Alligator mississippiensis: one gene and its partners. The protein of the gene in region 1 interacts with the protein of each later gene in a biochemical or structural test. Links are inferred from orthologs where the notes say so. Each region holds a gene or a part of one and is shown in the gene's direction. Other genes may lie near its edges.

The links.
Region 2: the proteins of PDGFRA (region 1) and PDGFA form a complex in vitro, tested with the Homo sapiens proteins (2 studies listed by BioGRID). The link is inferred for Alligator mississippiensis from reciprocal best matches to the Homo sapiens genes PDGFRA and PDGFA.
Region 3: the proteins of PDGFRA (region 1) and PDGFC form a complex in vitro, tested with the Homo sapiens proteins (2 studies listed by BioGRID and IntAct, with this or other methods). The link is inferred for Alligator mississippiensis from reciprocal best matches to the Homo sapiens genes PDGFRA and PDGFC.
Region 4: the proteins of PDGFRA (region 1) and PDGFB form a complex in vitro, tested with the Homo sapiens proteins (3 studies listed by BioGRID). The link is inferred for Alligator mississippiensis from reciprocal best matches to the Homo sapiens genes PDGFRA and PDGFB.

The regions. Positions count from the first base shown.
Region 1 is NC_081825.1:59,716,709-59,723,640, forward strand, and holds the start of PDGFRA (platelet-derived growth factor receptor alpha), read left to right. Parts: upstream 1-3,913; 5' UTR 3,914-4,078; intron 4,079-6,932. UniProt on the Homo sapiens protein: Tyrosine-protein kinase that acts as a cell-surface receptor for PDGFA, PDGFB and PDGFC and plays an essential role in the regulation of embryonic development, cell proliferation, survival and chemotaxis.
Region 2 is NC_081836.1:49,243,078-49,250,515, reverse strand, and holds the start of PDGFA (platelet-derived growth factor subunit A), read left to right. Parts: upstream 1-4,434; 5' UTR 4,435-4,742; coding exon 4,743-4,805; intron 4,806-5,085; coding exon 5,086-5,182; intron 5,183-7,438.
Region 3 is NC_081825.1:92,511,390-92,518,957, forward strand, and holds the start of PDGFC (platelet-derived growth factor C), read left to right. Parts: upstream 1-4,562; 5' UTR 4,563-4,990; coding exon 4,991-5,114; intron 5,115-7,568. UniProt on the Homo sapiens protein: Growth factor that plays an essential role in the regulation of embryonic development, cell proliferation, cell migration, survival and chemotaxis. Potent mitogen and chemoattractant for cells of mesenchymal origin.
Region 4 is NC_081827.1:99,161,654-99,169,237, forward strand, and holds the start of PDGFB (platelet-derived growth factor subunit B), read left to right. Parts: upstream 1-4,576; 5' UTR 4,577-5,418; coding exon 5,419-5,574; intron 5,575-7,584. UniProt on the Homo sapiens protein: Growth factor that plays an essential role in the regulation of embryonic development, cell proliferation, cell migration, survival and chemotaxis. Potent mitogen for cells of mesenchymal origin.

The DNA.
Region 1 (6,932 bases):
CCTGAGCAGGGGTTGCCATAATTAAAAGCAGGCCTCCGCCAAGCAAGACAAAGGCTCCCTCCCTGCGACGGCATCTGGAGAAGCCCGAAGGAACGGACTCTTCGCCCGCCTTGTGTCCTCAGCTACTTAACCCGAGTCCATCGCACCCTCGGGAGAGGCAGGAAAGGGGTCATTACTTCCAGCAAATTGTTTCTTCTCCCGAGGCCAATAGCGCTGCAGGGGCGAGGGGGGCAGGTTGAGGCTCCCGGCCCGGCCCAATAAACAGCCGCGCGTTGCAGACTGTAATGAGCAGCCCCAGAGAGGCGGAAGCGCGGTTCCTCCCAGCAGAGCTCCCCCCTTCTCCCCAGGGAGCCAGGCCCGCTCCCCACAGCAGCCCTGGAGCCTCCCTCCCAGCTGGGCCTTGCAGTCAGCGCGCGGGGAAGGGCTGAGGTGTCAACACCAGGCTCTGTCTTGTTTCAGCTGGGACTGGTTGGAGATGTGGAGCTCGCATCTGCGTGCCACATAAACAGCCCTCCCTCCCCCCAGCACAGCGCCGTATGCTTCAGGCTGCCTGTTCTGGAAGAGCCTGAAAAGGGAGCCCTGTAACAGCTTGGGATAGAAGAGACCCGCTTGGCCCCACTGTCACATACAGTCTCAGGGTTGGCAGGGACCTCAAGGGTTGCCCAGCCCCACCCCCTTCCCAGATGTTCCTAAACCATCCCACTGAAGTGCTTGCTTTTGCACCCAGAGCCCAGGCACTCGGGTTTGTCCCACGCAAACACAAGCAGCTCAGGTGCCTCCTGCCTTGCCTAGCTGCCCTTCGCTGGGGTTGGGAGAAGACAACTGGTCACGGAAGCCATCTGGGAAACAGCGCACACAGGAATACATCTTGCTGAAGCATCTAGCTTAGGAGAGAGCTGTTTGTTTTAAGACATCATCCTTAAGAGCTGCTGGCTCTGGCAAAGCCACAACCACCAAGCTTTTCTGGAAGAAAAGTGGTAAAACTATCCAGATGTGGGGTGCCGTGTAAGGCAGGGCTTCTTAGCCCACCAGGTTCCCCCCGCCCCCCCTCCAACCCCTTCCCCCAAGCCAGACCCCCGCACACGGGCCACCCCCGGGGTGCTGGCATGTGACAGTGGTATGGAGTGCCACCTTCTCCACCGCCAGCACCGCGACAGGATCCGTTTGCAAAGCCTGTTTCTGAACTCAGGAAGGAGGAGGCTGGAGGGGGCTGGGACGTGAGCACAGTGGGGTCTCTCTCCCAGCAAATGGCCAAGAGTCAGCTGTGCTGGGAACTGGGGAGAGCGGGGCTCTCCACCCGAAGGCACATCTGGTGTGCATCTCCCTTTGCTCTCTGCCCGGCAGATACCTCGGGAGGTACAAAAATAAACACGCAGCCTTGTAAACGCGGAGATTTCTCGCCCTGTTTCCAAGCGCGGGACCACACAGGACAGCGTTGCTCCTCTCTCCGTGCAATAATCTCGTCGGATCTTACAACAACAGCATGGAGAGGGCTCCTGGCTCTCCCCCCCGGCGAAGCCCTGCAGGGTGATTGACACAGAGGGGCCTGGAGACAGCTCCCCCGGTTAATTAATGAGGTGACTCGGGACTGGAGATAAAGGGCTGCTAATGTCATCACTTTTCAGGTACCAATCCCTGCGCTGGGCCAGGAGCAGAGGCAGGAAAGGTCGAGTGATTAACAATTGCTCCCGCTCCCCAAGCATGTTCGCGCCGGGCCCGGTCAGCCGAGACGAGGGCAGCCCTGCTGCTGTCCCGGCCCGGGGCTGGGGACCATGCCCGGAGCGTGCGTCCCGCCGGGGATGGAGGCCTGCGAGGCAGCCACCTCCCCAGACCAACACGGCTACAACCTACACCTCCCCAGACCTGCACTCCAAGGAGGTTCGCTTTGTTGTTCAGCCCTGTGATCTGATCTCCCACATGGAAGCCTTTAGCGATTGTTTGTTAATGATCATGACAAAGGCATTATTCAAATTAGGCAGGTAATTACAACCAGAAGGAGCTTTTTTTTGTTTTCTTTTTTGTTTTTTTTTTCCTCTTCTGCTTCATTTTTTTTGTTTGTCCTAGAATGGGTCTCCCGTCACATCTGATCACGAAAGTACTCCATCAAAGGTCCCTTTACAGCGTCACTCGGCCTATCCGTGCACAAATCAAGGCAACGAAAGTGAAGCCAGCCTGCAAACCCACTCCACGCTAGCTCCTGGCAGCCCCTGACTGATACCCTAACTTTGTTTCAAAATTTGAAGTCCATTTGCATTTCAAACATCTTAAAGCACCTTTCGATTTCCTGAGAGCCTTGTCTCCTCATTCTCTCTCTCGTCACCACCACTTTAAACGATCAAACTTATGTATTTATTTACCTGTCAGGTAAAAAATTGCAAGATGAGTGTACCCTCCACTGCCCCTTACCCTTACTTCCAATCCATGGGAGCCTGTTATTTATTTACAAGCATTACGGTATCCTGTTAGCATTCCGAACAAGGGGCTGTTCATATATCTGCTTCCAATGATTTCCTGAAGGAACATGTGGAAGCAATAGTGAGGTTGTGCACTCACTCAAGCTGAAGATGTATTAAGGCTGCAGAAGGCTGCAGGCAATGTGATCAACTGAGCCCAGGCAGGGGGGACCCTGCCAGCCCAGCCACGGGGACTCGGCTGGCCCATGCTTTCGCTGCCTGCCTTTCACAGCCTTCCTCATTTCCCTTCGGGGGCATTTTCGCTTCAGAGACTAATTCTCCTTAGTCTGGGAGAGATGGAGCCTCTGGAGCCTGCTGCTTGACTTTGAGAACAAAGTTTTGCTTAGAAAGGAAGGGAAGGGGGATGCACGCAGGCACTACGCGGGGGAAGGGGAAAGCAGGCAGAGGATGCAGACAAGAAGAGGGGGAACCACTGTAACCTCCTCTTCTTCGAGAACCCCCTTCCCAGCGCCCAGGCGCGTCCGGCCCGGTGCCCTACGCGTCCCGAGAGGGGCCAGTCGGACGCGTCTCAGCCTCCTTTCCTGAGGCTGCAGTGCCCCCTCTCCCACGACCGCTGCAAAGACACCGCACGGAAAAGAGCCCGTCTCACTCCCCCAGCACAGATACCCCTCGGCGCTCACCACCCCTCCCTGTCTCCAGCACGCAGCAACAATCAGCAAGGCAGAGATACTTTTATCTCCCGCCGGGTGATCAAAGCCCTGTCCAGAAAGCCGGATTCACAAGATCAATTCAAAATTGTGGAGACGTCGTCTAGACAGGGTTCCCCGATCTCGTGCCGAGACCATCCCAAGCCTCCCGGTTGTCGGAAAGCAGCGGGCTTTTTGTTGTTGTTGTTGTTGGGTTTTTTTCCCTAGCGTTACCTTTCGCGGTTTCTTTCATTCATAACTATTGCTCACTCGGCTGCGGCTCAGTGCCTGCTGCTTCTGGCTAAGACGCTGCCATGCGGCTTTGTGCGCTGAGCCCTGAGCCCAGTCGGGTCGAAAAGACGGCGTGACATTCATTTCCAGCTCAGCTTTTCATCCCGAGACTTACATGGGGAGGATGGACACACGTCCGGGCATCTGGCACACCTTCCCCGAGTGCGTGGCCGAGGAGGAGAGCTCGTTCATGACACGGGGAACACTTGGGGCTTTAAAGAAACTTTGTTTCCCCCTCCCTGCAGTGCACAGCTCTCCTCGCCCCCTCCCCCCCCATACACGCTCCCTTGCCATATGGCTAAACTCCCCCCCCTTTGCCCCCCCGGCCCAGTCCGGGGCTGGTGGAGTCTGCAGGCGGCGAGTGGCTCCCCTGCTTGCACAAGAGCCCCCCCCCCGCACGCAGGCTGCAGGCGGCGGGGCCGCAGGCGCGGGGCGCGGGAGGGCGGCTCTTATTCTGAAGGGGCCGGAGGGGAGGGGAGGGGGGGCTTCGTTTCCTGACAGCTATTTACTTAAAGCAAATGATTAGTTTTGGAAGGATGGACTCGAGCGCTGGATCAATGACGAGGCGCGGTTTCTGAGCCCGTCCCAGTCGGATCTAGGGGGAGGAGGAGAAGCCACCAAGGACGTGGAAGGATTTGGGACTCCGCGCGTAGGGCTGGCGGCGCGGGTCCGCGGAGCCAGGAGCAGGTACGGGCTGGGTGGGACGGTCCCCCATCGCCTCGCCTTCTCCAGGGGCCGCTTGGGAGCAGGGGGAGGCGAAGCACAGCAGTCCCTTCCGATGCAGGCCATCAAGTCGCGGGGGGTGTGGGGGACAGAGCCAGCGGTTGTGCAGTCCCTGGGGCGGCTCACCTGGGAGCGCCGGGGAGGCGGCGAGGGCACATCTCAGCTCCCGGGGAGCTGCTGGGAGGGGGCGGGCGGCAGGATGGAGACCGGGGCGGGAGCGGGGATCTGCGCAGGGACGGGGATTGCCCCGCGCTGCGGGCGGCCGCGGTGGAGCGGCAGAGACTGGCGGACACACGTCGCGGCTCCCGGGGAGCTGGGTCGGGCTCGGGGGGCCGGGACAAGCGACCGCGGGGCATAGCCTGGCTGCTACTCCCGGTGCCCTCCGCAGCAGGACCAAATGGTCCCGATCTCTGGGTACGGCGGCCCCTCAGACCTGCCCCCACAGCTCCGGGGGCCCCGCAGCCTCGTCCCTCCCGGGCCGGCGTCGGCGCGGATGCGGTCAGGACCCCTCGGCAGGGTCCGGGGAGAGCGAGGAAATGGCTCCTGGGGTTGCGGCGGCGTTGCTCAGCCCCGGGGGGCTCCGGCAGCGCCAGACCCCGGCCCCCGCGGCGCGGCTCCTCCCGCCGGCCCGGGATCCCTTGGGGCTCGTCCCCGCCCGGCCAGCGCGGGCAGCAGCCGCGGCGCCCAGCGGGCAGAGCCACGTCCCCGGGGCGGGGGCGGCCACGGGCGGCTCCGGGCACTCGCTCGGCTCCCGGCCGCGCCGTCGCCCCGAGGGATCCTTCCCGCTCCCCCCGGCCCCGCCCGGGCTCCCCCCAGGGCACAGACGAGGCGGACCCCTGCCCTCTGCTCCGTGGGGCAGCCGAGCCCTGCCCGGGGAAGAGGGCAATCCGAGCCTGGACAGCATTTCAGTCCCCAGGGAGGAAATAATAGCGGGTCCTCCTCTCCTCTCCTCTCCTCTCCTCTCCTCTCCTTCTTTCTTTTCTTTTTCTGGCTAACCCGCATAAAAAAATGTTGCTTCAATTTGGCAAGGGCTCCCCTATTGTTTCCTAGGAAAACAACTCCGAGGCTGGATGTTGCTATTGCTGCTGGACGCCCCCCCCCCCCCCCCTCTCGGATCATCCCCCCACGCTTTCCCCGCTTCGGGACACCAGCGCCTGCCAGGGCTTCACTTCCCAAGGGCCAGTCCGTGCTCTGGAGACATTCAAAAACCCAGGACAGGGGCTTTGAAGGGGTGAATGTCAACACCCTCCTCCCCCTCCCAGCTGCCCGGCTTCGTAACATCCAGAGGTGGAGGAGCCCCCATGCCCGTGCCTTCCCGAGCTGAGCCGTCCCGGGGCAGACCCCCACCTCCCAGCTGCTCACTTCGGGTCCTTGTTGCAGGCAGACCAGGGTGGAGAGCAGCCCCTCGGGTGCTTCCCATTCACGGCCGGCGCTGCTCTTTCTTTAAGCTGCCTAAGCTTTCTGCGTGATTTCGGCCGCACCCCATTCAACATCGAGAGACCCCGCTGGTTTCGTCCCATTTCCTCCCCCAGATCCGGTCCGGTCCGGTCCACATGTGCGAGTGGCTCTGGGCGGGGAAGAAACTATTTGGCCCCTGACTTGTGACCTCGCTGCCCAGCGCCCGGATCCCGCCCAGGGGGTCATCTCATCTCAAAGAAGGACCCCCCGGAAGGATCCGTGAGCGAAGGGATCCCGCATCTGGTTGTCTCCGCGGTGGGAGGCTGAGCCACCCCCCCGGGCTGTGCGTTTCCCAGGGGGTCCTAAGAGCAAAGTCAGGCTCCCTGGTGCAGGCCGAGGGGCTGGAGGTGGCTGGAGCAGGCTCTCGGCTGAGGCGGCTCCCGAGGGCAGGCGGGGGGCAGAGCTGCCGAGGCGGCTGCTGCCCGTGTGATGTGGCGGGGCGGAGAGGAGAGGAGAGGAGAGGCTGCCGGGTGCCAGACAGCGGTTTCCCAAGGGCAAGGCAGCGGCGGAGTCTCCCTCGGGCCGGCCGGAGCGCGGGCTGTGCTGCCCCCTGGCCGCCGCAGGAGGGAGCCGCCAGCCGCTCCCCGGAGCCTGCAGCTGGTTTCATTCGGCGGCTGCGCCGCGGGCTCTGCCGGGCTCGCCCCACGCGGCTCGCTCCTCGCGGGCCGGATCCTGTGCCCTTGCTGCGGTGAGGCTGAACCTGGCCCCGGCTTCATTTCAGTGGAGCTGACGGGAGCACTGCGCCGTAGTGATGACGAGGAATCAAGCCTGTGGCTCTTGTCCCAACTCATGCATATGCAACCAGTCTTAGGGCTTCGAGCCTGCCACAGCATCTGCCAGCACAGCTCCCCCGGGGCACCAGTGCTGAATCCCGGAGAAGAAGATTCCCTCAGAGTTTCCTACCAAGCCAGTGGGAAGAAGCACAGAGCCTGACCAGACAGGAGGTCAGAAATCAAAGCCTGCAAGGTTCATATTTTGTCTGAATCCCAATGATAGGGTTTTTCAAAATGATCATAAAATCATAGAGCATTAGGGCTGGAAGGGCCCTCCAGAGGTCACCTAGTGCAACCCCCCTGCCTCAGGCCGGATCATCGCTATCCCAACCACCCTATACCCTCCATAATCTAAACTACTTAAGAAGACCGTCAGCCCTGACACAACACAGACCTAACAAAATCTGATCTAGAAGCAGAAAATTCTTTTCCAACGAGTTTCCTTGCTCTGCATGTTGGACATGCCCCCAGACAAACAATGGCTTCAACAAAGAGAATTTTTCTCCAAAACTTGGAAACAGTTTTAAGAAAAATTACAACTACACAAAAATTTAGGATTTAGCAACCCAAACAACACTGGGCTCCCC
Region 2 (7,438 bases), on another chromosome or scaffold:
CATTCCATTGTTCCACAGAGGAGGAGAGAAGGGAGCAGCTTAATATACCACTAAAATAGCGTTCTCTCCTGGTATGCAAGTGCCTTGGTTTAATGCCTAAACATGGTATCTCACTGTCCAGGTTGGCAGCACTGCCAGTTCATACGCTCTGTCCTGAAGGTGAACTTTGTGTCACCCTGTAGTGCCTCCTCTCAGTCAGTTTAGAAATAGTGAAGGGCAAACACCCCTCATTTCAGGCTGTCTTGCTGAACCCAGTGTGTAAGGGCAGTTTAGAGGGAAAATGAAGGAAAACATTGCTAAGAATGCCTTAAGTCTTTCTGCAGGGTGGAAATGTTGATCTATTATTAATTCCCTTGCCCCCGCCCCCAGATTCTGTGCAAGGAGGGTGTGATGTTGTACATATTGAAGTCTAGGCCAAAACTCCCCCTGATTTTAATGGGAACAGGACTGGGCTCTCAACACTCATCCCAGTCCATTGGAAAAGACAGCAATCTGTCTCCATAAAGGCTCTGCCTTAAAGAGCAAGCAGGAACAGGTTTTCCAGGACTGCTGCTCTATTTGCTCATTGCATGGGTTACTGGAGAGGGCAAGGGACTGCTTTCGGATCACTGTACCTACCCAAAGCATTTTAATTGATTTGTGTCTATGATTGTTCTAGGTACCAGTTTCCTAGGAACGTACCTGGAGAGCTGCGCAAAACGTTATGAAGAGAACAGAGCTTAGTTCAGACTGAATGAGCCAAAAAAAAAAAAAAAATCCAAAAGGAAGGGCTGAGAGCGGAAGAATAACTATTTCCAGACATAATAATTGATTTTTTGTCCACATCTGAGTTCACAAATAGGGTGTGCTTGTACCTTTATCTGACTGCAGATACCAGTCGGGTAGTTAACAGAGCAAAATGATAAGCTGATCCCCACCTGCAATTCATTTCTGCAGGCCAAAATCTACAGGTGCTGATTTGGAAGATACAAGCTATGAACGCATAGGTAGGGAAATGAACAAGTACGGGCCAAAGAAGTGTGTGTTAAAGGGAAGAAGTCCAACCTTGAAGAAGCAGATGAGCTTCTTTTAAAATGTACTCCTTGTTTAGAGTCACTGGCCGATGAGACTTCCTAGATTTTATTTTTCAGATTCTCTCACCATGTCATTAATATTGTAGACTGAAAGACATGAGAAGCCAGTCCCTGAACGTGCTTTTTGCAGTTGATTTCTGGAACTACCATGCTTTCTGCTGTAAGGGCATTTGCATCTGCTATGTACCAACCACCTTTGGTAGGATCAAGGGCCCGGGAAAGCAAACAGGCCAGTCACAAAAAGGAAACACCTGGGAATCCTGTTTGGATTCATTGTAATGTGATTAGGGAAGAAGCCAATCCCCAACTGAAATCAACCACCCGGCAAAGTTCTGCAGGATCCCGTTTCATGCTAACAGCATTACAAACGTGTAGACTTGCACTGGACACTTAACAGTCATTTGTTAATGCTTGCCAGGGACTCAGAAATGCCAGCGTAGAAATCAGATTACGAGAACAGTGGCTGGCAATTGGAGGGACCATGTAAAACTGGCCTGGTTCCCTCCCCTGACTCCAGGGCTTCATTTGCACTTGTTTTTCTCTTCTCTTGCTAACTTTTTCTGACCCCAGCGATGCTTTCCTTCACACTCCTTCTACCCACTGCAGCTTTTCCTGCTGCCCCCTCAGGCCCTTGAGACTACTTCCTTTCCAGCAACCTTCCCAGCTGCTTGCCCTCCCTCACTATGTTAGGGCACACTCTTTTGAAACATGAGTTGGTTCCATTATACTGCCTGACCTAACCTTGTTTATGCCAACTGAGCCGGAGCAGATCTAAAAGGATGCTTGCAAATGGTGCTGGACTGGAAAGGTGCTAATTTGGGCCACTGTAGGCCTAGGACTTCATGTACAGGTCCTTTGGAAAACGATGCTGTTATCTAAGGATGATTTCACTTTATTATTTGTACTGAGCCCAGGCACGAACCAGGACTTCATTGACCAAGGTGTTTATACACACTCTGAAGATGATCTTTATCCCCAAATAGAATCCATAACTCTGATGTTTTCTTAAGTACATACAGCAGCTTTTTAATTGCCTAGACAAAAATGTGTTCTCCTTAATTCACCAGTCTTGTCATTCTCCCTCATCTTTTCAACTAAAAGATTAAACTTAAAATATTTAAACTTCTTCACCATCCCTCCCTTTGTATAAGTGGATATAGGTATTACATAAAAAGCCAGTGTTTCGCATACTTGTATACGAAACTTGTATACTGCACGGAAGATACCAGGCAGACGCACTATCCCATTTATTGGACTTGCATGGCATTCTTCATATGAAAGAATCCTGGTGTGCTTGTAGAAGTTTTTTCTCTATGCAACAAAAAGATCTTATAGGGAAGGCTTTCCAAATACAACATTTGTTTTGCAAGGAGGGAAACAAATGATCAAAGAGAACAAAGCTATAGGCAGGAGTTTAGTGTGAATTTAATTCAGTCGCTCTGATCTTTGGACTCTTACATAGTTTGCCTCATTATCAAATATTTTGCAAGGAATGATATAAACAGTCTCCTGTTAAAGACTGCTCCAAGTGTAATGTGATCCAGAGGAGAGATGCCCAGCTGATGGCAGCAATGATAGATGTAAAAAACATGCCGATGCAGTCTATTCCTCCTAGAATGAAGTAGAGGCAAAACCAAGCAAAGGTTTCCTCTTAAGAGATAGCAGCGAAAATGATCCTGAATGTTGGTTTGATTAGAGGTCTCTCCTTGAAGGAGTTACCACTGAGTAGCCAGCCAAGTCTACTTCTAGATAAACATGAGCCAATGAACCAATGAGTGGGAGGAATAATTGCTCAATGAGATTTGTATTGTCAGGAACAGCATAACCTTCTTAGAGGCATCTTTGTTTTTTATTATCATTGCTATGGCAACCTTGACCAGAGGTGCCTTTTGGGTTTAACCCCAGAGACTGATTAGAACAGGTCAGCCGGTTTCAAACTGAAGTCACCACTTCCTTGCTTGTGTGATATCTCCCTTCCCTCCCTGGCCCTCCAAGAGGGGATGGTAACCACCCACCTCTCCCCGGCCAGGGGTGCCCTAGCTGCGTGCTCAGCAGCTGGCACCCGGCTCCCTTCTCACGCAAGACCTTTGGAGGTGGGGGCACCCTGGCCGGAGGGCTGCCACTCCAATTTCTTCAAAGCCCCAGTCGTTTCAGCTCCTTCCCCCTCTTCCTCAAGACCACCCTGCAAGCCTGCGTGACATGATGAGAGAGCAGTAAACTGCACTTGAAAGCCCAGCTCTGCGTTTCGGTGGGAAACTTCTCTGCAATTGCAAAGCGCCCATTAAAGCGCAGGTTGTTTCCTCGAAGCATGCCCAAGCCGGGAGCTTGTAAAGCCCTTCGGGGCTTCTAGCAAGCCTTCCCTTTTGAAATGCTGGGTTGGGGGGAGGCTCGGAGATGAAAGGCTAAGTCTCCCTGGCTGTGCATTTACAGGCTATTGTCTTCCCCGCAGGATAGTTATCCCTCCTCACTTGTGTTATTGCAGTTAATCCACTTAAATGCCCCTGGATTTGCAGATGAGCTGGATTCTTTGCTCCCGCGATTAAGGCGCTTTGTCTGGAGGAGAAAAGGCTGCCGCTGTCCGAGTGACAACGAGTGCCGGGCGAGGGCAGGGGCTCGCGGGCACCTCGTGCCCATCCGCAGCGCAGCGCGGGGCGGGGCGGGGCGGGGCGGGGGTCTCGCCTGCCCGGCCCGGAGGGCGAGGCGCTCAGCGGGCAGCAGCCGGGAGCGTCGCTCACTCGGGCACCGGTTGTGTAAGCCGCAGCCCTGGCCGGCCGCTCCGGGGAAGCCAGCGCCGAGTCCCGGGGAGCCCGGGCTCATGTGCCAGGCGCACCCCGGGACATCGCAATCGCCCTTGTGCGCAATCCCCCGCACCCCCAACTTGTTGGAAAGCAGGAAAAAAAACTCTGCCCCCCTTTCCCTGCCGCAGCCCTCGCCCGAGACGCCCCTTGGACTGCAATCTGCATGCACACGGACATGCACGGGGTGCATATGTGTCCCCCCAGCGCCAGCCAGCCAGGACTCGCCCAAATCATGGCGATGCCCGGTGCCTTCCCGGCGAGGCAAGGTGGATGCCTTCAGGTTGCAGCCTGATCTGCGCAGAAGCTCCCACCCCCTCGCCCTCCCTCGCCCGTGCCGCAGAGGTGCCGGCCCGCCGGCTGCAATCAGATCCCCGCTCCCCCGAGCCCAGCCCGGCTGGCGCGGGGCGGTGCAGGGTCCCCCCGCCCCGGCGCTGCCGCAGGAAGAAGCCAGCCCCCCGCGACGTGTTGTTTGCGGCGGTCCGCGGAGCGCCCGGCCGCGGAGGGGGAGGGAGGGAGGCAGCCAGCGAGGGAGTGCCGGAGGGAGGCGCAGGGGGAGGCGCCGCTATATTCCCCTCCTCGGGATTATTTCCCACTCCACTCCGGAGCAACCCCCCCCAGCCCGGTGCACGGTGGAGACGCAGCCGCCTGGCTCCGACCCCCCCTGGAAGGAGGCAGGAAGGGGGCATCCATCTCCCCGCCGGCAGGAGCGCGGGTGGCTTTGCAGCGCGGGGGCCGCGCAGGTGATGGGCTCCCGCCGGGCGCCGCCCGCATGCGGCGGGACTAGTCCGCACTAGGGACCGTACAAACGCATCCCGCCCGGGCGCCGAGGGATGGTGCTGAGCCCCGCCGCGGCTGGAGCCGCCGCCGCGCGATGAGGACCTGGGCTGGCGCCTTGCTGCTAGGGTTTGCCTACCTGGCCTTTGCCTTCTCGGAGGTACGTGCTGCCGAGGAGGGAGGGAGGAAGGGGGGGAGATGCAAGGGATTTTTCTTTTTCTTTATTTATTATGTATTTGGGGGGTGGGGGGTGAGCAACCAGCCCGCGGTTGCTCGGGGGCGCAGGCTGCAGGAGGCAGCCGGCGTGCAGCGCCGAGCGCCCCGGAGCCCGGCCGGGAGGCGCAGGGCTCGCAGCCGTGCTGCTGGCCCCGGGGAGGAGGGAGCGGGGGCTCCGCAGGTGCTGGCCCGGGACCGTGATTGGGTGTCTGGTCTGTTTGAAGGAGGCTGAGATCCCCCAGGAGCTCATCGAGAGGCTGGCGCACAGCGAGATCCACAGCATCCGCGACTTGCAGCGCCTCCTGGAGATTGATTCCGTAGGTAAATTATTCTCTTTCCTTCCTTCCTTGCCTGGTATGCCGCTGCTGGCACCTGGGGCCGCGCCGATCAGCACGTGTCCGCCGGGTCTGAACCCTCCAGTCGCCCTTTCCTACCAGACGGATCTAGCGCAGGGCTCGGGATCCAGAGCAGGGACCCGCAGGTGTGCCCCCCTCCAGCCAAACCAGGGCTGGGAGAGATGCAGACCAAGGGCAGCAATTCCTCAGTTACCTCCAGACAAGAATCCACTCCCAGGTCAGGCTCAGGAGTCAGACAAGCAGATGGTGAAAGAAACTCTTTGAGTTTTAACTCCCTGACCTTTATAGCTCCAGACCTCTTAATTTCTCAGCAAAGAAGAATTTCCCGAACCTTTCTTGTTGTTCTTCTCCGGCTTGGCTCTCTATAAACTACTGTCCTAGAGGCATTTGAGATATTTGAAACAATGTTTATGAATGAAGTCATGTCTTTTTCAAGACCTGGGGTTTATTAAAAGGAAAATAAACTGTCCATTCTGATCTTAACCAGGACCCTTCCTCGGGTGCTTACCCTTGACAAATACCGCCCTTATTCAAAGGAAAATAGCACAAGGTTATTTTCTGCCTGGTTAAGCATGCAAAGCAATGGAGGGAGAATGTGCGGTTCACCAGTGCTCTACCCCCTGGTATAAAGATCTCAGCATCATGGCAGCATTGAATGGGTGTCATTAAGGTTGGGTTGTTGCCCTTTGCTTTTGGTGGTTCCTTCTGTTAGTTTGTGGAAGAAGGAAACAGCATCTTTGGTAGAGCCGTGTCTTTTGTGAGAAAAATCAAGGAGTCTTGCTCACAGCGGTATGGGGCATCTCCTTTAAAAAAAAAAATCTTATGCTATGCATTTTTTTCTCTGAAATATGTGCTGTTTAAATCATTATCATTCAGTGCTACCAGGTCTTGATTGACTCGCTTGCCTTCTTGTTAGGTGAAGTATTAGTGAACAGAAATGTATGGGAAACATAGCTTACTGATAGAGCTCTTAATTTTTATGTAATTATGTTGTAACTGGTGTCTCATTACAGTGAAAATTAAAATGCTCCTGTCTTTCAGGGTACTTTGCCATAAAGGCTCATTACTAATTACTAGCTTGATATGCATTGGGTTGATACTTTTAGAAACAGAAGTTGGGATTAAGGAAGCTTTCAGGCAGGGACAAAACCCTGAATTGAATGTGCGTAATGCATATTAGCCTGCTCTAAACTGCAGTCTGTACCGTGCACGTGCACCAGGGCCCAAGAAATTTGTATGTTGGCTGCTGGAGAAATAAGGGCGGGTGAATTTTCCCTATTCTCTATTTCCGGTATCTTTGAGGCAGTATTTTGTACCTCCCAGAATATAGTATGTCCGGATACTTCAGCATAACAAACAAGTGCTTCATTTTTAAATACCACTTACGACGAAAGCAAAAGTTCACACGGTTCCGTGTCTAGAGGCAAACTGACAAGCAATGGTGTGCCAGTTGAATAAATTAGAGAAGGTGGCAGATCAGAGAAGATTACTGTAGGAAACGAACTGAATTTTGTTCATGCTTGCTGTTCGCCACTAGGTAAATAATTATTTCATTCTGGCCCTTTACTGCAACGCACTGGTTCAGCAAGTGGCAGAGAAGCAGGAAACAAATGTCCTTTAAAAGCTGAATGTGAAAAATTATTGTTTTATAGAATTAAAAATAAAATGGAAAGGTCCAGTCTTGCCATGTTCCTCCTGCGATTAGTCCTTGCAAAGCCCTCTTCTAAGTAGTAGTTCCAATATTGATCCCTACTGGGAACATAGTCAATGGCTATCTCAGTTTATGCTTAAATATATCAGTCTGGCAAGCTTTACTTTCATAAGTAATCCTTACTCCCCTGACTTCTTATTGCCATAAAAATACAATCAATTAAAAAACTGGATTCAGCTAGTCTCCTTTGGCAATAAAGGCTTGGGCCTGTTTAGAGCATTGTAAGATTAGCTTGAGCTAGAGGAAAAAAAGTCAGATATCTGATAGCTAGTGCTGCAAAGAAAATATTTTGGAAAGCGGAGGATTGCCTTTCTTGCAGTATAACGCATCTGTTAGGTAACAACTGCAGTTTTAACGGATTTGTACAAGACAGTTTCCATTTTTTTGTTGTTTTTACTACTACTCGTTGTAGTGCATGTTCGTGCCAGTGCTTTCCTGAGTGAGTAGGGCTCGTAAACTCAGGGGGGGAACTCAAGTACCGTGGATTACTCTTCCGAGCAAGAGTTTGTA
Region 3 (7,568 bases), about 33 Mb from region 1:
GCACCCCTTGTTCGACTCAAGGTATCCCATGGAAAATGTCAGCTCTTAGTTTACTCTAGGTCTGTGACTACAGACAAATAATACAGCAATTCTGCTGCAAAGAACTCAGAAAGATCAGAACAAGTCGGAATGCTTTTGACTATGGATTCTTGTTTGAAAACTCTGGGTTTATCTTGTGAATCCTATTTGCACACCTAACACCTATTTGTACACCCTATGGCACCCTTGAATAAATCTTGTGGCACCCTGGTTGAGAATCACTGTATTAGATAAACATCAAGTCCCTGTAGGCCCCTGACAGATGTTCAGTTTAAGATGTGATGGAATGTAATCCTTGGTCCCAAGTTTAAAAATCCTGCTATGCCACACAGGCATGGCAGGACCGGTGATTTTGGGATGAGGGTTTTACTTACGGTTGCTTTACTTGCAGTTGCAGGTGGAGCCCAGGACAGTACATGACGTTTTGAGATGCCCTGGCCACATGTTCAATTTAAGGTAAAAACAAATGAGGCACAAAGGTATTCCACATATTCCATGAATAATTCCATTATGTGTGGAATACCTTTGTGGCTGACTTATTGCATTATCATGCCTTAAATTTATTGCATTATCACCAGGGCTTCTGGTTTCCTCAGTTTAAAAATCACAAATTCTCTTGATTAAAATCCTCAAATCCATGATTAAAATGCACCACCACTATATAGACAGGTATCAATTGAACACAATGCTTTACTGATATATTTACAATTTTTAAGCCATTTGAAAGCCTACCAGTGCCTCAATCACTATAATAAAATACATTCTAAGTATCTATAAATTTTGCTATTTGCTTCTGGGTTTTTTATCATGGAAAATCAGAGCTCCCCCTGCCCCTTTCACTCACTGAGATGCAGGTCAAGGCCACTTACTCCCAAGCCATAGCCCAACACCCCTGCCAGTGCCCCTCAATCCCCACCCACAGCCCCCTGGCCCTGCTGGTGCTCCTCAGTCCCTGCCCGCAGTCCCCCGTGCCCCCGAGCCCTGCTGGAGGGGGCCCCCAGCTGCCAGGGATATGGGGTCAGCCTCCAGTCTCCTGCAGCAGAACCCAAGCCTCAGTGGCTGCCTGCAAGAGGCAGTGGCTCCTGCAGCTTGAGCATAGAACAAAGCGTGGAGCCCAGCTCCCCATCCCCCATAGGAGGTATAGCTGAAGCAAAGCCTGTGGTGGGCGGATGCAGGCTGCCCACTGCAGGCTTGGGCTCCCTACTCTGCTGCCCTCCCCGTAAAGCCTCCACAGCCCAGTGGGCAGGACCCAGCACAGCAGCCCAGAGTGGGGACGGGAGGCTCAGTTCTTCCCATGAGAGCTCTGGGCCACCCTGGCAAGGCAACCCTGCCTGCCCAACAGCAATGAGGGGGCACAATCCCACACTACCACCCCCACTGCTGTTAGGTAGGCAGGGGCACCCCTCCAGGGCAGCATGGGGCTTCCAGTGGCAAGGAGCTTCCCCGCTTGGTCCCGTTCTGGTCCTGCCCACTGGGCTGTGGAGGCCCCAGTGGGGGGCAGAGGCGGGGGAGGACAGCAGGGCGGGGAGCCCAAGCCCATAGTGAGCAGCCCTCCCGTGTTCCTGCCCTGCAGATAAAACTGGGGAGCATGTGCTCCCTATGCCCCCCAGGAGTCAGCTGGGAGCCAGCCCTCCCACCCTCCGAATGAGCCTCCCACGTCTCCGTCCCACTCCCTGCCTAGACCCTGTGGCCACACATTCCAGTCCCAGGCCCCAAGCCACACAAACCGCCTGGACTGGGCAGCAGCCCTGCCCATCTCGCTTCCTCTGTATGAGGGCCTCAGTCTTCCCTTTCCCCCATACCAGATTTACCTGTGGAAGCTGCTCTCCAGGCTGTGTGCACATGGAGACCTATCTGACCGACCTCCTCTCATTCCTTCTGGCCCCTTGCAGGCTGGAACTCTGCCAGCCTGCATAGAGCTCTTTGCAGAAGTGCAAAATCTATGCATTTCTCTGTTAAAATGAAAATTCCATGTTTTTCTCCATCAAAAGAGAAAAGCTTCAGGTTTTTTTCTGTAGGAAATGGAAAACCTGGATCCCTGATTATCACACGTTGCTCAGGTGGCTGTATTAGTAGGTGCATTTAACCTGTTAAGGTTACCCTTAAATATGTTGGCCAGAGAATATGTTTTTGCTTACAGAGCCAACAAAATAGTTAATGATTCATGGTATAGGGATGTAAGTTATTAAACAACATTTCAACAGAAGATGCAGAAATAGTTATCAAAATCTTAATGAAACTAAGCAGAATCAATCTGTGAACATGAGTGACTCAATTTCTCATTTCAAGGTAGCTGAAACAGCAAGTACTGATGAAAGAGAACTAATCGGCAGGCAGAACATTTTTAAAACAAATTCTTCATATTTTATTTCCAAATATCAGGGGAATGCCTGAAATGAAGAGCTTAACTATGCATTTAATTTTCCAATTCAAAGCCAGTTCCTGTAAAAACAAATCAACACAGCACATATAAACATAAAGATAATATCACAGCAAACAAATAAACCCATGTCATTACTCTTTGGTTATTGAAACCAGAAATTGGCCTGAACCACAAAGATCCTGATAGGGCAACTGGATCCCTGTGGAGAAACCCTGGTGCTTTTGCCAGACTGCACTGAAGCCAACAGGGCTGTGAGGGAGCACGAGGAGCTGACAACATAGATCTGACTGCAGGATCAGGGCCAACGTCTGGATCTGTGGCTGCCTTCCTTAGGAGCTTGGATATGGAGCTTCAACCGGGCCCATTGTAAAAGTTGCTGCAAGTTTGAATTTAGAGCCTGGAACCTGCCTGAAGTTTGCCAGTGTTCACATTTGGGCCTCATCTCCCACTTGTTGGGTAGGAGCAGCTAGTGAGTTTTGTTACTGAGGTAGGGAGCAAAAATAAAACCTCCCTGATAATATAGAAACCTGAGGGCCTCTCTCCCTGTGCTAGTGCCTTAGACAAGAAGCCCTGAGTCATGCTGAATGCCTGTGGTGACCTGTTTACTGGGCCCTGTTTTGAAATAGCACCAAACCTTCAGTACATGACGCCAGGGTGCGAATTAAAGGGGAGCTGCGGGGGGGCGGGCCATAAGAGACAAGATTCTGCCTGTAAAATTTGAAAATCATAACCTGGGGGTGGGTCTCTAATCGGATTGCTCCTTCACTTAGGTGAACTTGTTAATCAATGAACTGGTTCAAATTTTTTTGCAGCTGCGCCAAGAATCAAAGTATCATTCAAACCCTGTGAGATGCTACAAAGCCGGTGCTGTCTGGGGGTGACAGCAACCTTGTTGCCCAGCCTCCCCATTTAGGTTCACCAAACTTCTGTTCTGTTCCAGATTTAAACCAGTTTGGCCTGGGATAGAAGTTTCATAAACTGGTTTGACCCCAATCAGTTAAGTCTGATACAACATTCCATTAGGTTTATCTTAAACCAGTTGCAGCCTTTTGAAACCGGTATTTGTGCACTGAGCTTCTATGCTGTTCCAGGTTCAAACCAGTTTCTGATCATTTTTTTAAAAATTATTTTGATTTTAAATTGTCCGTATTCCAAGCCAAATTAGCCAAAACAAATTCCAAATCCGAGAAGCAGTCCAGAAACATAAGTGGGCCTACTACCGGCAAACATTTTCCACCCCCATCTGAGGCTTCAGATGCTCTCAAATCCTTTGGCGGGCATCCTACGTGCAGGCCCAAGCCCAGAGGCTTGGGGTTCAGATGTCCCCAAGTTTTGCTTGCCCTTAGACATAAGGCCCCAGGAGCAAGCTAGGGTTAGCCATAAGGTTAGCCATACGGCCATAGCCATAAGGGTTAACCATAGGCTAGCCATAAGGCCCCAGGGGCAAGCTAGGGAGGAGTCTCTGTGTCACTTCTGTCCCTAGCTTTTGGGATCACTTAAACCAGTCCATGTGTCACTTCTGTCCCTAGCCCCCTTCCAAGTAGGGTGGCCATCACAGAGGCGAGTCGGGTTGTCCTCTGTCCTCTATTGATACGAAACCGAACACCTTTAGGTCCTCTTTTCTCTTGGACAGAAAAACAGAGGACCTAAAGGTGCTGGGTTTCGTATCCACAGAGGACAGAGCAGCAGAAAACCGGTCCCGCCTCGATGATGGCCACCCTACCTCCAAGCCAGCAGGGGTGAGAGGGAGGGAGGGTGGCAGCTGGGACGGGCAGGGTGCGACGGAGCTGGGGGGGTCCTAGCGGGGCAGGGCAGCGTCTCCCTGGAGCGGGGGGCAGAGATGCAGGGCCCTGCTGCTTGCTGTGCTATAGCACCTGTTGTGTCGCCAGTTGGCAGTCAAAGGCAGGGGGAGAGAGGGAGAGAGGCAAGAGGCCAGCGGCGGGAGCCCAGCCCTTTCCCCCTTTCCCATCTGCCGCCCGCGCGGCTCCCCCCGCGCCCCGGGCGCCCCGCCAGCAGCCCCCGGGGGGAGAGGCTGCAGCCAGGTGCCGCCCGCCCCCTGGAGGAAGGGGCTTGGCTTCTCCCCGCCCCCCGGCCTGGCTGGGCTCCGGCTCCCGCAGCTGACAGGTGCTCCTCGGAGTCCACGGCGGCTCCCTCCGCTCCGCCCTCCCACCCCCGCTGCCGCCGCCTTGGCCCCCGCGCGCGCCGGGCGCCCGCACCCGCCTCGCCTCGCCTCGCCTCGCCCGGCCCAGCCCCAGGCAGCGCCGCGCCGGGATTGTTTAGTTCTGGGGAAGCTGGTCGGGGTCCAGCGCTTGCTTTGATCCTTTCAGAGAGAGAGAGGGAGAGCGCGAGAGAGAGACCTGGAGGCGCGGAGACAAGGCTCTAGGAAAAAGTTTTTTGGATGGGATTATGCGGAAAGTACCCTGCCGTTCTCCGCTGCCCGAGCAGGCTCAGTGCTGCCTTCTCCCCCGCGGCGCAGCCCTCGGCCGGGGGTGGTGAGACAGCGGCGGGACCGGTCGCGGAGCTGCGAGTGCCCGGCGTGTGCGGTGCCGTCGCCCCCCCGGCAGCCCGATGCTGCTCTTCGGCGTCCTCCTGCTGACAGCTGCCCTGGCCGGGCCGGGCCCGCGGCGCGGGGCCCGAGCGGAGTCCAGCCTCAGCGCCAAGCTCCAGTTCGCCAGCGCCAAGGAGCACAACGGTGAGGCCCGGGGCAGAGAGAGACGCGGGCACGCACCCCCCACACGCCCGCACGGGCACCCGCGCGTGCACACCCGCATGGCCACCCCGCCCACACACACACACACACACACACACACACATGCGCGCGCGCATATACGCAGGTACCCCTGCGCAGACACACACGCACACACATGCAGACACATACACACCCTCATGTATACACAGGCTCCCGCGGGCAGACACACATGCAGACATATACACACGCATATACACAGGCACCCATGCACAGACACACATACACACACAGACCCACACACACATGCAGACACATACACACCATATATACACAGGCAGCCTTGGGCAGACACATGCACACACATGCACACACATATACACAGGCACCCATGCGCAGACACATACATACACACCTGCCCACACACACACACACACACACACACACACACACACACACACAAATGCACAGGCACCCACACACATGCAGACACATATACACAGGTACCCACATGCACTCATACACATACACACACATATATATACACACACACACAGACACCCACACACAGACAGACACCCCCCAACACAGATATCTATCTATCTATCTATCTATCTATCTATCTATCTATCTATCTGCATACACATACACAATCACATGCACACATGTACATATATACACACCCACACACAGACCCATACACACACATACATATATATACATACAGACACCCACACACAGGCATATACACACACACATACAAACACCCACATGCAGACACCCACACACAGATACACTCTCACACATATACACATACATATACATATACACACACAGACACATATGCACGTACACATGCACTATTCGTCTGCATGCAGTGGAGAGGAGAGTTGCAATTCACTTTGCAGCTTCCCAGGCAGGGCTGTCACTGAGCTTGGCTAATGTTATCCCAGCTGCAAAGTTGGTCCAATAAAAGCTAGCACCCTCACCCAGCCCTGGCCATGCTCTCAAGTGGAAGGGAAGCTTTAGCAAATATCCTTACAAATAGCATTGAAACTCACTACAAGGGGAAAGGGGCGGGGGGGAACTCTTCCTCGCCAGAGTGAGTCTTTAAGATCGAAGCCAAAATGAATGAGACTTGGCAGGTCTGACCCTGCTGTGTGTGTGTGTCACTCTAGGAAACTTGTCAGCCTGGTTAAGTGAAGCACTATAGGTAAAAGGGTACCCGTTAAAGAGCCAAAAGAGAGCAAAGAAAGACCTCCGTTCCCAGGCTGAGCTTTATTTTCTGGGTAGACTTTGAAATGTTTCTTCTTTTTGTTTTGTTGTGTTTTCTTTTTGTTTTTTAAACACACCTTGGTGCCCTCAGTCCTTAGGGCTCTGGGGGTAGGGCTTTTTTTTTTAGTGTGTGTTGGTGAATGAGCTCTATTTTGTATGGACTGGAAACGAGCTAATCCTGCCTAGGAAATGAGAATTACTTTCAGCTTTCAAGTGTACCTGAAATGTTTAGAAAACTCTCAAATGCAAGTTCCCTTGGGCTGGGATTGCGCGAAGCTGGAGAAAGGCTCCTTTCATGCAGCGAGGGCAGCTTCAGGGTGTGTAATTTGCTTAGCCTCTGAACTCCATATGATTTACATTATTCAGATTTTTTTTCAACGCCTTGTCTCTTGATCTGTGATTATGAAGTCATTTAAAGAATATTTTACCAGCAGAAATGTCCTGTGCCACATGAAACCACACTTAGTGCAGAATATCTAAAATGAGGTTATTAAGCACCCTCTTTTCCAGGGATGTATGCTAATGTAAGGGGGGAAAAATAGCAGCTTGCATGTCAGGTTAGAATGATGTTATTTCTTCCTAGACACAAACCAATGCAAAGACACAAGAAGAAAACTTCAAAAGTTTTGGTAGGTTCTAGATGACATACAGGCACCAACAACAACAATTTCAGGTTTAAAAACTGTCTCAATTCAACCCAAACTGTCAGGTTTGAACTTGGGATTCCCTTGGTATCTTTTGCAGTATGGTATCTTCTAATGCAAAGCAAATAAAGAAGTCAGAAGCTGTTTTCAGCCACTGTATGAATTAGTAGAATGTGTAGTGTGTTATCAAATTTAGCAGGGGAGATTAATATGCTGCTGCCTGCTAATGTGATGACATATGGCACCTGCAGACTGCCAGAGCTGCTGATCAAAGAGCAGCACAAGGATCAGTCTCTAATCAGAGTAACTGCAAAAGGCCAGGGGAAAGTGATCAAAAGAGTCAGAAACCCAGCTATTTTGACAGGAAACCAATCAGACTAACCTTTGTCCTCCCTGCAGGAAAATACCTACGGTGCAGGAGAACAGAAATCATTCCCACTCTCCCAGTGCATGTGGCTGTTAGAGGTTTTAGGACACCAAAGAATGACAAGCAAGACTTGGGACTAATAGTTTTATTGACATGGCACACATAAGGAGCATA
Region 4 (7,584 bases), on another chromosome or scaffold:
CCCTGAGGAAGCCTGGCAGTTCATCACAGGCACAGACTCCGTAAGCGGCATCCCTCTCTCTCTCTGCATGCTGTTGTTCTGTGAGGGTTTTATTTAATACCTGAGACCCCAGACACCCCTTCGTTCTCTTAGTTCCTGGAGTTCAGCACAGAGATAGAAGATGCAAATCCTGAACACCTTTTGTTCTGTCCTTCAGTAATGTATTTATAAATGACAATGCTCCCCACCCTGTCTCTGTCTCCTTCCTTCATTTTCTCTTCCCCTTTCCTCGTTTCTTTCTCCTTTAGACTAAATTCAGCCTTCAGGAAGTGGGTGCAACTCCCATGGAAGTCTCTGGGCCAAATTACATAAATAGCAGCGTAAATCACATATTTGGGACCTGATTCTAGGCTCACTTGTATTACGGTAAACCCGAAGCCAGCAGAGTTTAATGGGTATAACACTGATGTGAACTTGGACTTGGCCTCTGGCCTAAACTAATCATAAAACATTATTTGAGACCAAATTCATTCTTAGCTGTGGTTTGACTGAAGTCAGGGGAGTTACACCAGAGGCGAATCTGCCCATGTGCAATAGTAGTATATGACTACCTGCTGTTTCCGTCCTAGTGACTCTTAACAAACCAAACTTTGCTAAGGTATCTTGAACCTGAATTAGGCTGTTTGTGCCCTTTGTTCCCCACCCACCATGTTCCAGTTTTGCCAGTGTCCTCACCTGCACCATTGCTAATGAGTACTGCTCCCCTGCAACAGCCTCTGCTTTCCCAGGCTGTGCTCCTCAGACAACTCTACCAACGCACCAAAGGCCTGGTCCTGCAGTCTTTGCAGTCCCGCTCAGCTCTACTGGGGCACCCCCCATCCTGACTTTCAGGCTCTGCTAATACTGTTGTTATTCAGTGATTGATTCTACCATTCAGACTCAGTATTGCTCTTCTTTCTCAGCTGAATTTTGCTTTCATTCCTAAAAACTGCTTGAAAAAGTTATTAGTACTCCTACTTTGCACATGTGGGCTAGGTACAGACATTAAAAAAGCCCAAGGCAGAATCAATCTAAGGCATGCAGTTTTCTGCAAGCAGTGTAGTTTAGATCAGTAGTGACCAGGACACACATCTGCCCTTTGTGGTGGGGATGCAAATCTTAGATCAGGTTCTGCTATTTTTAAACCAGTCTACACATGGGCGACTGGTGCCTCCTGAGTCTGGGGGGGCAGCAGATCACTGACGGGGGCCCCCCCAGCAGCCAATCGCCAAGCCAGCAGCAAAACCAGAAGTGCACTTCTGGTTTTGCGGCTGGCACTTCCAGGGGGTGCACAGCCCATCTCAGGGGGTGCACATGCACCCATGTGCACCCCCTATGCACCGCCAATGAGTCTACGTGTGCTGAACTTCTGTTACCGGTTTCCGATCACTTATACCGGTAAACGTGTAATGTCTGCATCTGGCCTCGGTCTCTGGCTAGCGGAGGGGTTTTTTTTGGACAGTGTTTAAGTTGAAGGGTGAAAAGCCAAGTGATAGGGAATATAGATTGTCTGCAGACATTTATTCACCTGTTAACCCAGCTCCCAATAATAAGACAATGAATGCCATGAGGATAATATAATTATTCACTGGTTAAAGGCAGGGAAAAACTTTTCTAATCAATCCTTCATTATTAAGATTCCAAGCTAGGAAACCCCAAGGGGCTCCTATCCCTTCAGGTTTGTGGTCTGTGTAATGGGATCCCTTGAGCCATTCTGAGGCTATGACATTGCCTCATCAAGCCATGATGCTGTATGATGATGTTTTGGCTCGCTATCATTATAGCACAACCAAACCTCGTCCCTGCTGCCATACAATAAGCAATGACAGTGCAGCAGCAAAACACTGTGAGGTGATGATACAGCAAAATGACATTACTACAGACCTGAAGACCCCATTTCAGAGAGGCACTGAAAGAAAGGACACAGAACCAGCCATATGCATAGCTAGCTTAAGCTTAAGCATAAGCAGCTCTGTGGAGCTGAATAATATTGAGTTCAGTGGAGTGGTACCCATTTGCGTTGAATCTGAATTTGCTCTAATACTTTTAAAAGATTTTTTTCATAAGAGAGAAAAATCTCTTCCTGTTTCAAAAACAGAAAGAGTAAAGGAAAAGTGTCTGAAATCCTACTCACTCTAAATCCTGCTTTGCTCTTTCCAGCTGGGGTCATAGGTAGATGAGTAGTCAAGTTACAAACATCCTCTTCCTTGTCCACAGGCTTCAATGGGGACTAGCTATGTTTTTTTCTGAAGCTGAGCTTCTAAAAATTGCCCAGCATCATCCACATCAAAATAAATAACTGTATTTCCATCCAAGCACATACATAATTGAGCCGGAAATAGAAAAGCAGACTCTAACCTCATCCGGCATTTTCCACTGTCACCCAGCAAAACTGCAGGACCCTCTGCTACAATAGTTCTGATCCCCACTCACCTTGACTGATGCATCTCATTTCTGACCAGCTAAAATAACCCTCCCGTACATGTACTGCTCCAGTCCTAAGCAAATAAAGACTGCCAGCAGGGTTTATGGGCTAGGTCCCCAGCTGGGGTAATTCAGCCTAACTTGGTTGATGTCAGTGGAGCTAGTTTAGCATAGTTGCAGATCTGACTCTATATGGACATGTTGTGATGATGGTTGATGTGGTGTGGCCCAGGCTAAGATGGATCGTGCCCAAAGAATGAAGGAATCAGAAATGCCAAGTGTCTCTGTGTATGTGAGGATGTGTAACTAAAGCAATTGGAGGGATTAAGGGGAAGGTTCTTCAAGATCTGTGACAGTTTGGGGAGGTGGAAATACATGGGAGACTAACATCAAATAACTGCTTCCCAACGCTTCTGTTCAGCAGTTAGAACAGAATCTGCCATCTCAGTTTTGGGGGTGGAGGAGGTGGTTCTTAAACCAATGTCAAGCCTTTTCCCTCCTCCTCCATGCCTGGGGATGGTTCCCCAGTGGTTGTAACTGCATAGCTCTGCTGACTTTAAACCAGAGAGAGACTGGCTTCTTGATTCAGAATTAAAGCAGCAAAAGCACCTCCCTTCGTCTAGCCTGCCTATGTGACTGTCAGATTTTCTGTGAGTTGCATTTTTATCTGCTGCAGGGAGCAGAGGAGGTGGTTGGGTGATTATTAGAGAGGTGAGCACTGTAGAAATGAGCCTGGTTCTGTTTTTATGTACCCCAGTGTAGCATGAAGGGGATCCAAATCAGGCCCATTGGGTACAAAAAAGCTAAGCTGGGAGGTGTTGTGATGACCACTGAGTCATACTGCATAAGGGTCATACTGGGCTGGCTGCTGCTTGGAGAGAAGATCCCAGGACACATCAGGAATTGCATTCTAATTCAGTGAATTGAGTTTTAACAATTACAGTTATGTGCATACCATCACTGAAGAAAGCAGGGGCGGTGCCTGTGAGCTTTCACTGCACCACCAGGGTCCTGCTCTCTGCTATGTGAAGTGCCTGCACATCCCTTGGGTATTAAAACTGAAATAATGTTTCTGCTGGAGAAATTCCAGCAGAAACAGGCACTTGGCTCAAAACAGGTGCATCTCTGATTTTGTGTCAGAGAGAAAAGAGCATGGGGTAGTGTGGGCAGGTCTGTGGGTGATGGACTGTGTATAGCATATGGAAACATATGAGGGTTGTATGAGAAGAGGTGACCGTGTATGTCAGTGACAAAACATAGGTGTCTGTGGTTATATGAGTGCAATGAGTTTGCTTATCATTGTGGAGGTGTGTGATCTTTGCATCAGATTAGGTTAATTGAAGGAAAGAGCAAACTTGTGTATATGAAGGCAAGTCAGTATCTATGGTTATATGCACAGGAGAGTGCATGGGGGTGTGTGTGTGTGAAGTGCAAAAAACACCCTATGACTGTGCATGATGTGTCTGTTGTCAACAGCATGTTGTTATGTGCATGAAGAGAACACCTCTGTGGACATGAGAAGGCATGTGCAGGTACATTCTCTGGTAAGAGATGACTCTGTCTTGAGCTCACCTGTTAGCTAGTCCTCCTACTTGACCCCCTTTTTCTCAGCAAATATCTGCTTGCTTCATTTCCCCTTGGATGTTTATGACATTGGGGAGATAACTGTGTGGCAAAATACATTTTAGTGCCTGGAGCAACACAAATTCTGTTCTAACAACTCCTGAATGTTTCTTTTTGTGCATGTAAAGAGATCAAAGGTATTACAACCATATCTCCCTCCAGAGAAAGCAGGGTGGGGAAAATCACAAGTTAAGCTTAAAAAAGTGCTCAGGCAGCAGTGAAAGTCTTAGTCATGGGCCAAACATGACTTTGCTGGAATACCTCTCTCCTTATTTCTCACCCCACCAATCCTGAAGGATTTTCTCTCTCCATTTCTTATTTGATATTAATTCTGTCTCTACATTCACATTCCCTGTGTTTCTTACTGAGGGTCTTTTTCATTTCGGTGAGTTCTGAATTGACTCACTAGAATATTTTTTTTTCTTGCTCTTTGATACACAGCCAAGAGAGGAGTTGCTAACAGTCTCCACCCCTTCTCTTTCTTCTCCTTTAAAAGAAGGAACAGCTGAAAGGGTGGCACCTTATTCTCTCTCTCTCTCTTGCAGACTAAAATAAAGACCCACCAGCTCTTTCCCGGCAGCTCACTCTCCTCCCATTTGATTTTACCTTTTTTTTCTTGTTGCAACAGGGAGCAAGAGACAGCAGCAGCAGTCACTCAGAGCTTGAGACTTATCGAGACTCAACACACACCCAGAGTCCAGCAAAAACATTTGCTCACCTGTTTGCAAAACCAAACCAGAGCTCACATTCAACCAAACTGCCAACAATATTTTGAAAGAAAAGGCACCAAAGACCAGAAGTTCAAACTTAGACAGAAAAAACAATCAACAACAGCATTTCTTTAAAAATAAATATACCAGAAGAAGAAAAAGATTATAGGGAAAAAAGTACAAATTTAGGAAGAAGACTTTGTTACCTGATTTTGTATAAAACTTTGGAAAAGTTTTCTGTTGGGAGAGGAACTAGTGAATTTGTTTTTGATATTTGGAAAATATGGCAAATAATTTTTACCTTCTTGTTTAAGACTTTTTTTTTTTTTTTAAAGAAAAAGGAAATTGAGAAGGAAAAAGCAAGCTGGTGGACCACCTGAGAAAAAGAAATGCAGAAAGATTTCTTTCACTAAGAGGGGATACAGACTGGATGCATACATTTTTGGGGGTCTGCATTCATTTTTTATTTATGCTCTGCTCCTATACTCCTTCTGGTTTATGAGACAGAAAAAAGGACAGACAACTCATACAGAATTATTTTTTTTAGAGGAAAAAGGGGGGTTTCTTTTTAACCCTTTCCTCCCCACTTCAAGATTGTGGAAAATAACTCGGAGTGTAGAAATGAGAGTGTGCAGAGCCTTCTATGCATGAGGCAAGGCTGGAACTAGATTGTCAGCGGAGACTGATTTCTTGTCAAGTCTCCCCTTCAATGTGTCTGGAACTCTTGGGGATAGGAGTAGGTATGAATTTCGGGGTGCTCTTCGTGTGTCTCTGGTACCTGCCTCTCATCAGCACTGAGGTGAGTAAAGACCCGTTTTCTTTTACGAGGGAGACAAATCCATATCTTGTAAACTTTAGACCCAGCATTAAGACTACAGAGAGGAGAGAGAAGGAGAACTCCTTTTAGCTTGTTTCTCTGACAGGTTTCAGTGTGTCTCTGAACACTTGTGCGTTTATGGTTATTTTAATTAACTTCTCTTAGCTTTTAGGAGGCAAGCAAACAAATAAGGGGGAATTCATATTTTGAATAAGCAACACCCTGACAGGTAAAGGGCAATGGGAGGGGGTGGAAGAACTGTGTTGACTCCAGGGTATATTCCCCATCCCCACCCATTGTGGACAAGTGGGGCAGTTGCGGCTTTTCAATCTCTCTGGCATTTATGAGTTTTGCTCTTTAAACTAAATGAACCTGAGTCAGATTGTTTTTCTCTGCAGTGCTTCACCACTGCCCCTTGCCCTTGTAGCTAATGAATTGCCACCTTGAGGCTTAGGGCTACCTGCTTGTACCTTCCCACAGTATCTCCTCCCACCACACCCCAACCAAAAAAATGCAATCCAAGGGAATCTCAGGGTGTATCTGTGCATGCAAGTAGCAGGGAGAAGAATCGCAGAGCCTGGGTTTTGCCAGAATTAAAGCAAGGCTGAACCTATCTGGTAGTTTAAGAGGGGACCTCAACAACCTGTTGCGTGGAGGGAGGGGTACTGAAGGCTGAATGAAAGGAGCCTGCAGTATGTCTTGGGAGCTGCTGGAGATGGAGTGAATGGAAGAGCTCTGGTAGCTCAAGATTGATGGTTTTCCCCATGATGGGAGGTCAGGCTGAATGGAAGCTGGGAGCTCCAGGAGTCCTTGCAGTGCAATGCCAGCCCTGGCTGCAGCAGTGTGCTCTCCAGCTGGTCTGGGCCATGAGCTGCAGCAACCTCCTCATATCAGTTCTGAACAAATGCCCAAGAGGGAAGCAGAAGGGAAGATTGCAGGGATTTGCAGAGACTGGAGAGAGATTTTTTTTTTTTTTGAAGGTGGGGTTCTTAAAGGGCCAAAGTCCTTTCTTTTGCTTTCCTAGTTCTATTTTTTTCCAAGAGGTTTGTGTATATAACCTTGCCCTGCATACCTGTGGGAGCTGGACTCTGATCTCACTTGTACCAGTTTTACCCCAGTCTAACTCAGTTGGGACAGACCCTTAACTCTATCTCATAGGAGCAGGGGAAGGGGGCCATCTTCATTCATTTTAACAGCACTAAGTTGACTTACATGAGCTGAGGGTCTGGCTTATTGCCTGTGGTGGAGTTAGTTCTGTCCAGTGTCAGTATAAGAGGGAAATCAGACCATGTGCATGTCACTGTGTGGGTGGCTCGTGTGTGTTTGTGCTGTGCGAGAAAGACAGCACCTCCGAAGGGGCAGGACGAAGGGAGAAAGGTGGGAGAAAGGCAGCAGGGTGGCTGGAAATGTATAGCTGCAGGGGAGGATCATTAGAAAGGGTCTGTAGGAATCAAGCCGGATCTGTGGTGCCCTTTCCTTCATTCGGGTGAGCTGGCAGCAGCAAAGCATTTCAGTCTGGGAGAGGCAGGGAAAGGAGGAGGAGCAGGGCTGGAGGAGGACTGCCATTCTGTTCCCAGCATTTATTTCCCAGACAACTCAGAACAAGATCCATCTGAGTACAGACACACGCAGCATGCTAAAGTACAACCCTCCTAGTATATCAAAGAGGGTAGAGGCAGAGTGGCAAAGGGTGAGAGCTAGGAGGGAGTTAATCTAGAGGTGAGCCTGGCAGAGAGGGAAAGCTGGGAGCTGGGCTGCAGCCAACACAGGTTGTTTTGACCAGGAACCTGTGGAAAGAATTCTTCTTTTGTTCTCCCTGCTCTTATGAGTTATCCTGCAGATTTCACTGCCCTGCCAGTGGAGGGACACCCCCTGTTCCCTCCACTCCAGTGCCTCACCTACCTAGGAGGAAGGGCTGGCACACTTCGGGCCCCACCCTTTCAACAGCTGCAATCTCTCTCCTTGCAGCCAAGCCAAAATAAAACCAAGGGA